Linked DNA regions of Macaca mulatta. Each later gene encodes a partner of the first gene's protein in a complex. Links are inferred from orthologs where the notes say so. Each region holds a gene or a part of one and is shown on either strand. Other genes may lie near its edges.

Region 1 (4,084 bases):
TTAAGTGGGAAACGTCAAATAGTAATTACCACTCACCTTTTTCCGGAAAATCGGCTTAGTTTGCCCACCATAGCCACTCTGCTTCCTGTCATAACGCCGCTTTCCTGGGAAAACGAATTGGTATTTGTTATAATACCAGCAAGTAATTCTTACAGGTTTTATCTTAATTTTGCAGCAGAAATATTAACGCTCAAGTCGGGCGTGGGGGGGAAGAGACCTGGACCCGTATGTTACTCTACAACACAAATGTCACATTAACACCAAATTATGCAGAATCCATCTTACCCTGGGCATACAGAGAATCCTTGCCCTTCTTGTACTGTGTCACTTTGTGGGGTTGGTGCTTGCCACACTTCTTACAGAAAGTCCGGCGGGTTTTAGGGACGTTAACCTAGTAAAGAAACCGTTCAGAACGTGCAGTGTTATTTGACGACAATGGCACAACGCCCTACCTCACCCAGCTAAAGCTAAGGCACTCCACGAGTACTCCTCACTACATGCTAACTCTGACTACAGGGTGGGTCAGCCCCATGTGCTTCAAGCAGAGCTTCCTCCCTCCGTCGAGCCCCAAAGAGGGAAAAGATCTTATTAACTCCACCCCCGGCTAACTCTACCTCTTTGAACCCATCACTTCAATTCCTGGCCCCGTAGCCCGGTCCCTTTAGGGTTGATCCCGGCAAAATTGGGTTGCTCCGGTATATCGAGTCCACACAGGAGCCTGGACCCATCCCGGCACAGCACCGGCGACGAAGGGGGGATAGATTACGCTGGATATTACTCGGCCCCACCAGCAAGTCCTACCATGCTTGCGAGAGCGATACCGGCACGGGAAGAAAGAAAGAAGCCGCGCCGCAAACGGAAGTATATAGGAGGTTCCCGATCGCACTTCCTCATGGGAGTCGGTAGGAGCAATCATAGAGTGTAAGGCTCGGCGCAGCGCCCTCCGGCTGCTGAGAGGACTCAGTTCCGAGCCGCGGGCGGGAGCTTAAGGAAGGACTCCGCCTAAAGGGTGGTCCACTCACCCCAACTTCCGCCCCGCAGCTTTGCAGCGTTTCGTCACTTTATCTCTTTTGGTGGACGCTGCTACATAGTGGCGTTCAGTGAAGGGAGCAGTGTTTTTCCCAGATCCTCTGGCCTCCCCGTCCCCGAGGGAAGCCAGGACTAGGGTCGAAAAGAGGGGTCCTCCACCTCCACGTTCCATTCCTGTTCCACCTCAAGGTCACTGGGAACACCTTTCGCAGCAAACTGCTGATTCAATGAAGGCCTGGAGGGAGCCAATTGCTCCAGTTCATCAATCACATGGCCAGTTGGTCCATTCAACAAATGGTCATTAGATGCCCATTATGTGTCAGGCACTGTTCAGGGGAAGGGATACAGTAATCTAATAGGCTTATAAATGTACAATTACGAACTAAGTACTTTGAAGAAAAGGAACAATGATTGGCGTTAAAGCAGCACCCTTCTGTTGAGGGAGTAAGTCAGCTGCTCTAGGTTCTGAAAAGTGACAATGAAATTGTTCGGCTCCTGTAATAGCAATCATCAAGCCTAGAAGTAGAAAGTATCCAGTGGCTCTTCCCTTCCTTGCAGACCTGGCAGAAGGCATATACTAGGTTTCAAGAGAGTCCAGCATAGAAAGACTGCAGGGTACTAAACATTTTAAATAGATTGTGTCATACAATTCTCACAGTAATTCTAGGAGACAGGTGGTACTATTATTCCCATTTTACAGGTTAAGAAATTGAGGTCGCTGGCCGGGCGCGGTGGCTCACGCCTGTAATCCCAGCACTTTGGGAGGCCGAGGCGGGCGGATCACAAGGTCAGGAGATCGAGACCACGGTGAAACCCCGTCTCTACTAAAAATACAAAAAATTAGCCGGGCGCGGTTGTGGGCGCCTGTAGTCCCAGCTACTCGGGAGGCTGAGGCAGGAGAATGGCGTGAACCCGGGAGGCGGAGCTTGCAGTGAGCCGAGATCGCGCCACTGCACTCCAGCCTGGGCTACAGAGCGAGACTCCGTCTCAAAAAAAAAAAAAAAAAAAAAAAAAAAGAAATTGAGGTCGTAGGATGTTAAAGGATTTTACCAATGTCAACAGTATTTAGTGAATCTAGGATACAAACCTGGGTAGACTGACTCTAGAACCTGGGTTCCTTTAACATTATAAAATACTGCTGTTGTGGCCTGGTGATTATAATAGCTAATATATATATATATATAGCACACTATATGCCAGGCATTCTCCTAACCACCTTACATACTACCCCTTTTAATCCTGACAGCAACCCCAGGAGGTATGTACCAGTATTAGTATTTAACAGGTGAGGACACTAAGGCACAAGAGATGTTAAGTTTACTTACCTGAAGTCACACAGGTTGTTATTTTTTTGTGGAACTGGAATTTGATACTAGGTAGTCTAACACTACAGCCTTGCACTTAACCACTACATCATACCAAGGAAGCAGGGGCATCTGCAGTGTAGAGGATGGTGAGGAGACAGAATTGGGCTGAGACACAGGAGGAGGTGGCAGTGGAGTAGGGACTGACGAACCATGACAGTCTGGGGTATCTTGCTTGCACAACCCTCCAGAAACATGCGTGGGACCTGAGCTGACACTCTGATCACCCCCTTTTTTGTTGGGTGGTCTCTGGGAATGAGATAATAAAAATATTACCACTACCTGCTACATTTCCTGAAAGTTTCTTTGCCAAACTTCCAGCATTTTCTTTTTCTTTCCAGATTCTTAGGCAATCTCACTGGCCTTTAGGGGTTTATGTTAGTAACATAGAAATATGAAGACCATGAACATGGCCCCTCTATGATAGAAAGAACTAATCAACCTTAGTTCTTTCTATCATACCTGTATTACATGGCTTTGTGGGGTTTTTGCTTGTTTTTGCTTACTTAAAAAAATTTAATTAACAAAAATTGTTTATATTCAAGGTGTACAACATGATGATTTGATATGTGTATACACTGTGTAATGATTACCACAGTCAAATTGATTAACATATTTATCATTCATCACCATCCATAGTTACCATAGAGGAGGTGAGGACACTTAAAATCTGCTCTCTTATCAAATTTCAATAATACAATGTTATTAACTATGGTCACTATATTGTACATTAGATCCCCAGAGCTTATACATCCTATAAGTGAAAGTTTGTACACCAATGCTGACACTGAGGTGGGAGGATCACTTGAGCTGTTCTCTGTTTTGGACATGTTCCTGCTCATTAATATCCCCTAAGATAAGGCACTCAGAACTGGATGCAGGACTCTAGGTGTGGTCTGGCTTTGCAGAGTAGGTGGCATGTTACCTTCCTCTGTCTAGATATTTTACTTCTGTAAGGAAGCCTCAATGTCACGTTGGCTTTTCTGGAAGCCATGTTAACTGATATGACATGCCTTTTGATTACTATCAGCAAAAACCCCTGAACCATTTTCACAAATGCTACTGCTACTCCACTTTCTCCTGGAGTCATTTGAAGTTCAAATTTGGGGCCCAGTTGTGAGACATCACCTTTAGCCCCGGTAAAATACACTTTGTGGAATTTGGCTTCTCACACCAGGTGATCAAGATCTTTTTGGAAACTAATTGCCCTCTTCCATCATCCAGTCTAGCACACAGAGCCTTGCACCATTCATAAACTAACTGGGCTACTTTTTATATTTTCCTCAAAGATCATCAACAAAAATGTTGAACAGGATAGCACCAAGAATAGAACCTTATATTGCATTGGGAATCTGTTCAGGTGACACTCAGCTGTTCATTTGTGCTATCTGAGTACAGTCCTCCTGTCAGTATGGATGAGTGTGCTAGGGGAGTGGTCGTGGGCAGAGGGTGAAGAAGAGCCTACATCTACTTGCTCTTTTCCCTTGTGCTCCTCTCTCTCTCTCTCTTGTTTAGCTCTCCCACTGGATGCCTGTCACCTCCCAGTCCCCACCCCAAGATGGACCTTGAGAAGGGACAGGGCATGTGACAACAAGTGACATAAGATGAAGAAAAGAGGAGGGAAGGTGAATGCCTGTGACCAATCCTCAGGCAGGTGAGTGGAGCAGCTATTGGGGGTGACTAGCAAAAGG
Region 2 (3,500 bases), on another chromosome or scaffold:
ATCCATTCCCTATTGAGAGCTATGTTGTTTTCTGGGTTTTTTTTTTCCTGCTGTAAATATTGCTGTAACGATCCTCTCATGTGTCTCTTACCTTGAACATTAAGTATTTCCTTAAGGGATGCACTTAAAAGTGAAATAGAGCTCATTCCTTGTTATTTAAGTCTTTGTTCTGGTGCCGTTTCTCCAAACAGGGATTCCACGCATATTTGAACAAGAGAGCACATTGTTGACATTGTATATTTATATGTTTATTATAACAGTTTCACAGAAGATGGCAGTAGTATCTTGAAGAATTATGTCTTTTTGTATTTTTTTCATAAAAGTATCATATGGGCTAGCATTGACTGTTAGCAGAAAATTTTTCCCTGACTACCCTATCTAAAATGTCTTCCTGCTTCCCAGTTTCTTTTAATGACCTTACACTACTTTTTTCTTCAGAGCATCTGTCACTGCCTAAAATCATATTGCTTTAATTACTTCTTAAGCCATACTTTTTCACTACGTCTTCTGGGTGAACTGATCTTCTATTTTGCTATACTTCCCATTTTTGTTTGTTATTCTCTCTACTTCAGCTATCCACTTGTCTAGACCCTGTCCATCCTTCAAGTCCAAACTCTAATGCCACTTTTCCATGAAGTCTTTGTGATTTTCCCCCACTTTCCTGGCTGGAGAAGATTATTTCTCACTTCTAAGTTTGTGTAGCATTTTGGTTTCCAGAAATGACTATACATCAGAATCATTTGGGGAAATATTTAAAAGATACAGATTCCTAATTCTTTTTTTTTTTTTTTTTGAGACGGAGTCTCGCTCTGTCGCCCAGGCTGGAGTGCAGTGGCCGGATCTCAGCTCACTGCAAGCTCCGCCTCCCGGGTTCACGCCATTCTCCTGCCTCAGCCTCCCAAGTAGCTGGGACTACAGGCGCCCGCCACCTCGCCCGGCTAGTTTTTTGTATTTTTTTAGTACAAAACTAACACGGTTTCACCGTGTTAGCCAGGATGGTCTCGATCTCCTGACCTCGTGATCCGCCCGTCTCGGCCTCCCAAAGTGCTGGGATTACAGGCTTGAGCCACCGCGCCCGGCCCAGATTCCTAATTCTTATCCTTAGATAATCTTTCATTAAGTAGGTCTAGGATGTAGCCAGAGAGGTGGGTTTTGTGAAGAGTATAGCATATTAATTGTATTCTCATTTGACCATTATGAAGTTCAGACTTTTATTGGAGTTATAGGTAATTGATGCATATAGCTCATCTCCTTTACCAGAATATGAGAGTAAAGGATGAATAAAGATTGTGCTGTGATACTTTTTTCCATAGGTTTATGTTTGTGGAATTTAATATTAGCATGTGTCTTTTCAAATAGTTATTCATTTTGGACCCGGAGAAAGTTCTTCAGAAGATGCCGTCATGATGAATACACCTGTGGTTAAATCTGCCTTGGAAATGGGCTTTAGTAGAGACCTGGTAAAACAAACAGTTCAAAGTAAAATCCTGACAACTGGAGAGAACTACAAAACAGTTAATGATATTGTATCAGCACTTCTTAATGCTGAAGATGAAAAAAGAGAAGAGGAGAAGGAAAGACAAGCTGAAGAAATGGCATCAGGTATTTGGGAATGTTAGTCACCTGCATTATTTCTCAATGGAACTCTTAGGACTGTCTCACATGTTACAGAACAACATGTTTGTTTCACATCCACTAAGTGCTGGTAGCAGTCCTCCAGTAATTTCGAAACCATCCCTCCTTTTCTACCCCTCTCTATTGCTTCTAGTTGAGAACCACTGACTGCAGCTTTTTTCTACATATTTATTTTTGGCTGAGATTCCCTGATTTATGCCAATCAGAGAATTTTAGCATAATAAGCTCTTTCTTGAGCTGTATTCCATTTCTTTCTCATACATAACAAATTTAAATTGTTTTGAGAAAGCAAGATATTAAAGTTGGATGCAGGTCTTTTTTCAACCTGTTTTTTAAGTTTCTGCAAATCATATTTTTAATATGATATTTTACTCCCTAATCCTTGCTAAATGGTCTGCATACAAAAAATAGAACTTACAATGAAATTCTGGGGCTTGATGAGAACCACCTGCCCAATCCAAGGATAACAGGAAAACTAATTTTTGTATTCGTCCAGACAGTGTTAAGTTTCGGCCCCCCAAAACAAGTATTTTGAGTAATCATTTATTCCTTCAATAAATATTTATGAGCATGAGCCCCAGTGCCAAATACTGTGCCTAATCATGGTGGTTGCTCTCAAGGAGTATATACACTAGCTGGCGAGACTAGTGTGCAGAAAACAGGGTTAAAGGGCCAGCAGAGAGGCGAAGGTTGCATATGTATTGGAGTATTGGGTTGGAAGATGCTTTCTTTTTAAGCTTGTAAGTAAAGATAGGAAATAACTTAAGAGTACATTATTGGCCGGGCGCGGTGGGTCAAGCCTGTAATCCCAGCACTTTGGGAGGCCGAGACGGGCGGATCACGAGGTCGGGAGATCAAGACCATCCAGGCTAACACGGTGAAACCCCGTCTCTACTAAAAAATACAAAAAACTAGCCGGGCGAGGTGGCGGGCGCCTGTAGTCCCAGCTACTTGGGAGGCTGAGGCAGGAGAATGGCGTAAACCCGGCAGGCAGAGCTTGCAGTGAGCTGAGATCCGGCCACTGCACTCCAGCCTGGGCGACAGAGCGAGACTCCGTCTCAAAAAAAAAAAAAAAGGGGTACATTATTGCACGACCATGTAGCAAAATGTTTAAAGTCTGGATTTCTACATTGAAACAGATTTGTGTTTAAATTGCAGCTCCAGGCCGGGCACGGTGGCTCACGCCTGTAATCCCAGCACTTTGGGAGGCCGAGACGGGCGGATCACGAGGTCAGGAAATCGAAAGGATCCTGGCTAACACGGTGAAACCCCGTCTCTACTAAAAATACAAAAAATTAGCCGGACGTGGTGGCAGGCGCCTGTAGTCCCAGCTACTCGAGAGGCTGAGGCAGGAGAATGGTGTGAACCCAGGAGGCGGAGCTTGCAGGGAGCCGAGATTGCGCCACTGCACTCCAGCCTGGGGGACAGAGCAAGACTGTCTCAAAAAAAAAAAAAATTCCAACTCCATCAGTTACTAGCTTGGCTATTTATCCAGACATCTGCTTTCTTATCTGTAAAATGGGGATCATAATAGTATGAATCCCATAAGGTTGCTGTTGGAATTAAATGAGATATTGCAAATAAAACACTTTAACACAGCTCCTAGCACATCAATTTATTTCTTTATTTATATATATATTTTTATCCATTAGGCAGATTGACTTGGGAAGTGGGAGGGACTTGGTGAAAGAAAGGGCCTAAGGAAGGTCAATTTAAGGATTGTTAAGTAGTAATGAAATCCAGCTAAGGTTATATGAAATTACTGTCACCTTAGATTTATGACTTTCTCATACTTTGTGTGGGTCGGAAGATAGTATTGAATTACAGATTTGGCAGTGTTAATAGGGGAAAGGCCAAGTAAGGAA

The links. Proteins that work in one complex are often made in the same cells at the same time.
Region 2: the proteins of BTK (region 1) and BIRC2 are in contact, whole or in part, in a crystal structure (PDB 6W7O), measured with the Homo sapiens proteins. The link is inferred for Macaca mulatta from reciprocal best matches to the Homo sapiens genes BTK and BIRC2. Residues at the interface, in NP_000052.1 of Homo sapiens: Leu483, Asn484, Arg487, Glu488, Tyr551, Ser557, Lys558, Arg562, Lys595, Met596, Tyr598, Glu599, Arg600, Phe601, Thr602, Glu605; in NP_001157.1 of Homo sapiens: Pro280, Ser281, Ser282, Asn301, Asp302, Asp303, Arg314, Cys315, Glu317, Ser318.

Annotation. Positions count from the first base shown.
Region 1 is NC_133426.1:108,279,399-108,283,482, reverse strand, and holds the start of BTK (tyrosine-protein kinase BTK), read left to right. Parts: upstream 1-1,284; 5' UTR 1,285-1,299; coding exon 1,300-1,357; intron 1,358-3,908; exon of another isoform or gene 3,909-4,051; intron 4,052-4,084. Other genes in the region: RPL36A (large ribosomal subunit protein eL42), read right to left, coding at 37-104, 286-391, 802-894. UniProt on the Homo sapiens protein: Non-receptor tyrosine kinase indispensable for B lymphocyte development, differentiation and signaling. Binding of antigen to the B-cell antigen receptor (BCR) triggers signaling that ultimately leads to B-cell activation.
Region 2 is NC_133419.1:103,239,126-103,242,625, forward strand, and holds part of BIRC2 (baculoviral IAP repeat-containing protein 2), read left to right. Parts: intron 1-1,359; coding exon 1,360-1,602; intron 1,603-2,793; coding exon of another isoform or gene 2,794-2,918; exon of another isoform or gene 2,919-3,233; intron 3,234-3,500. UniProt on the Homo sapiens protein: Multi-functional protein which regulates not only caspases and apoptosis, but also modulates inflammatory signaling and immunity, mitogenic kinase signaling, and cell proliferation, as well as cell invasion and metastasis.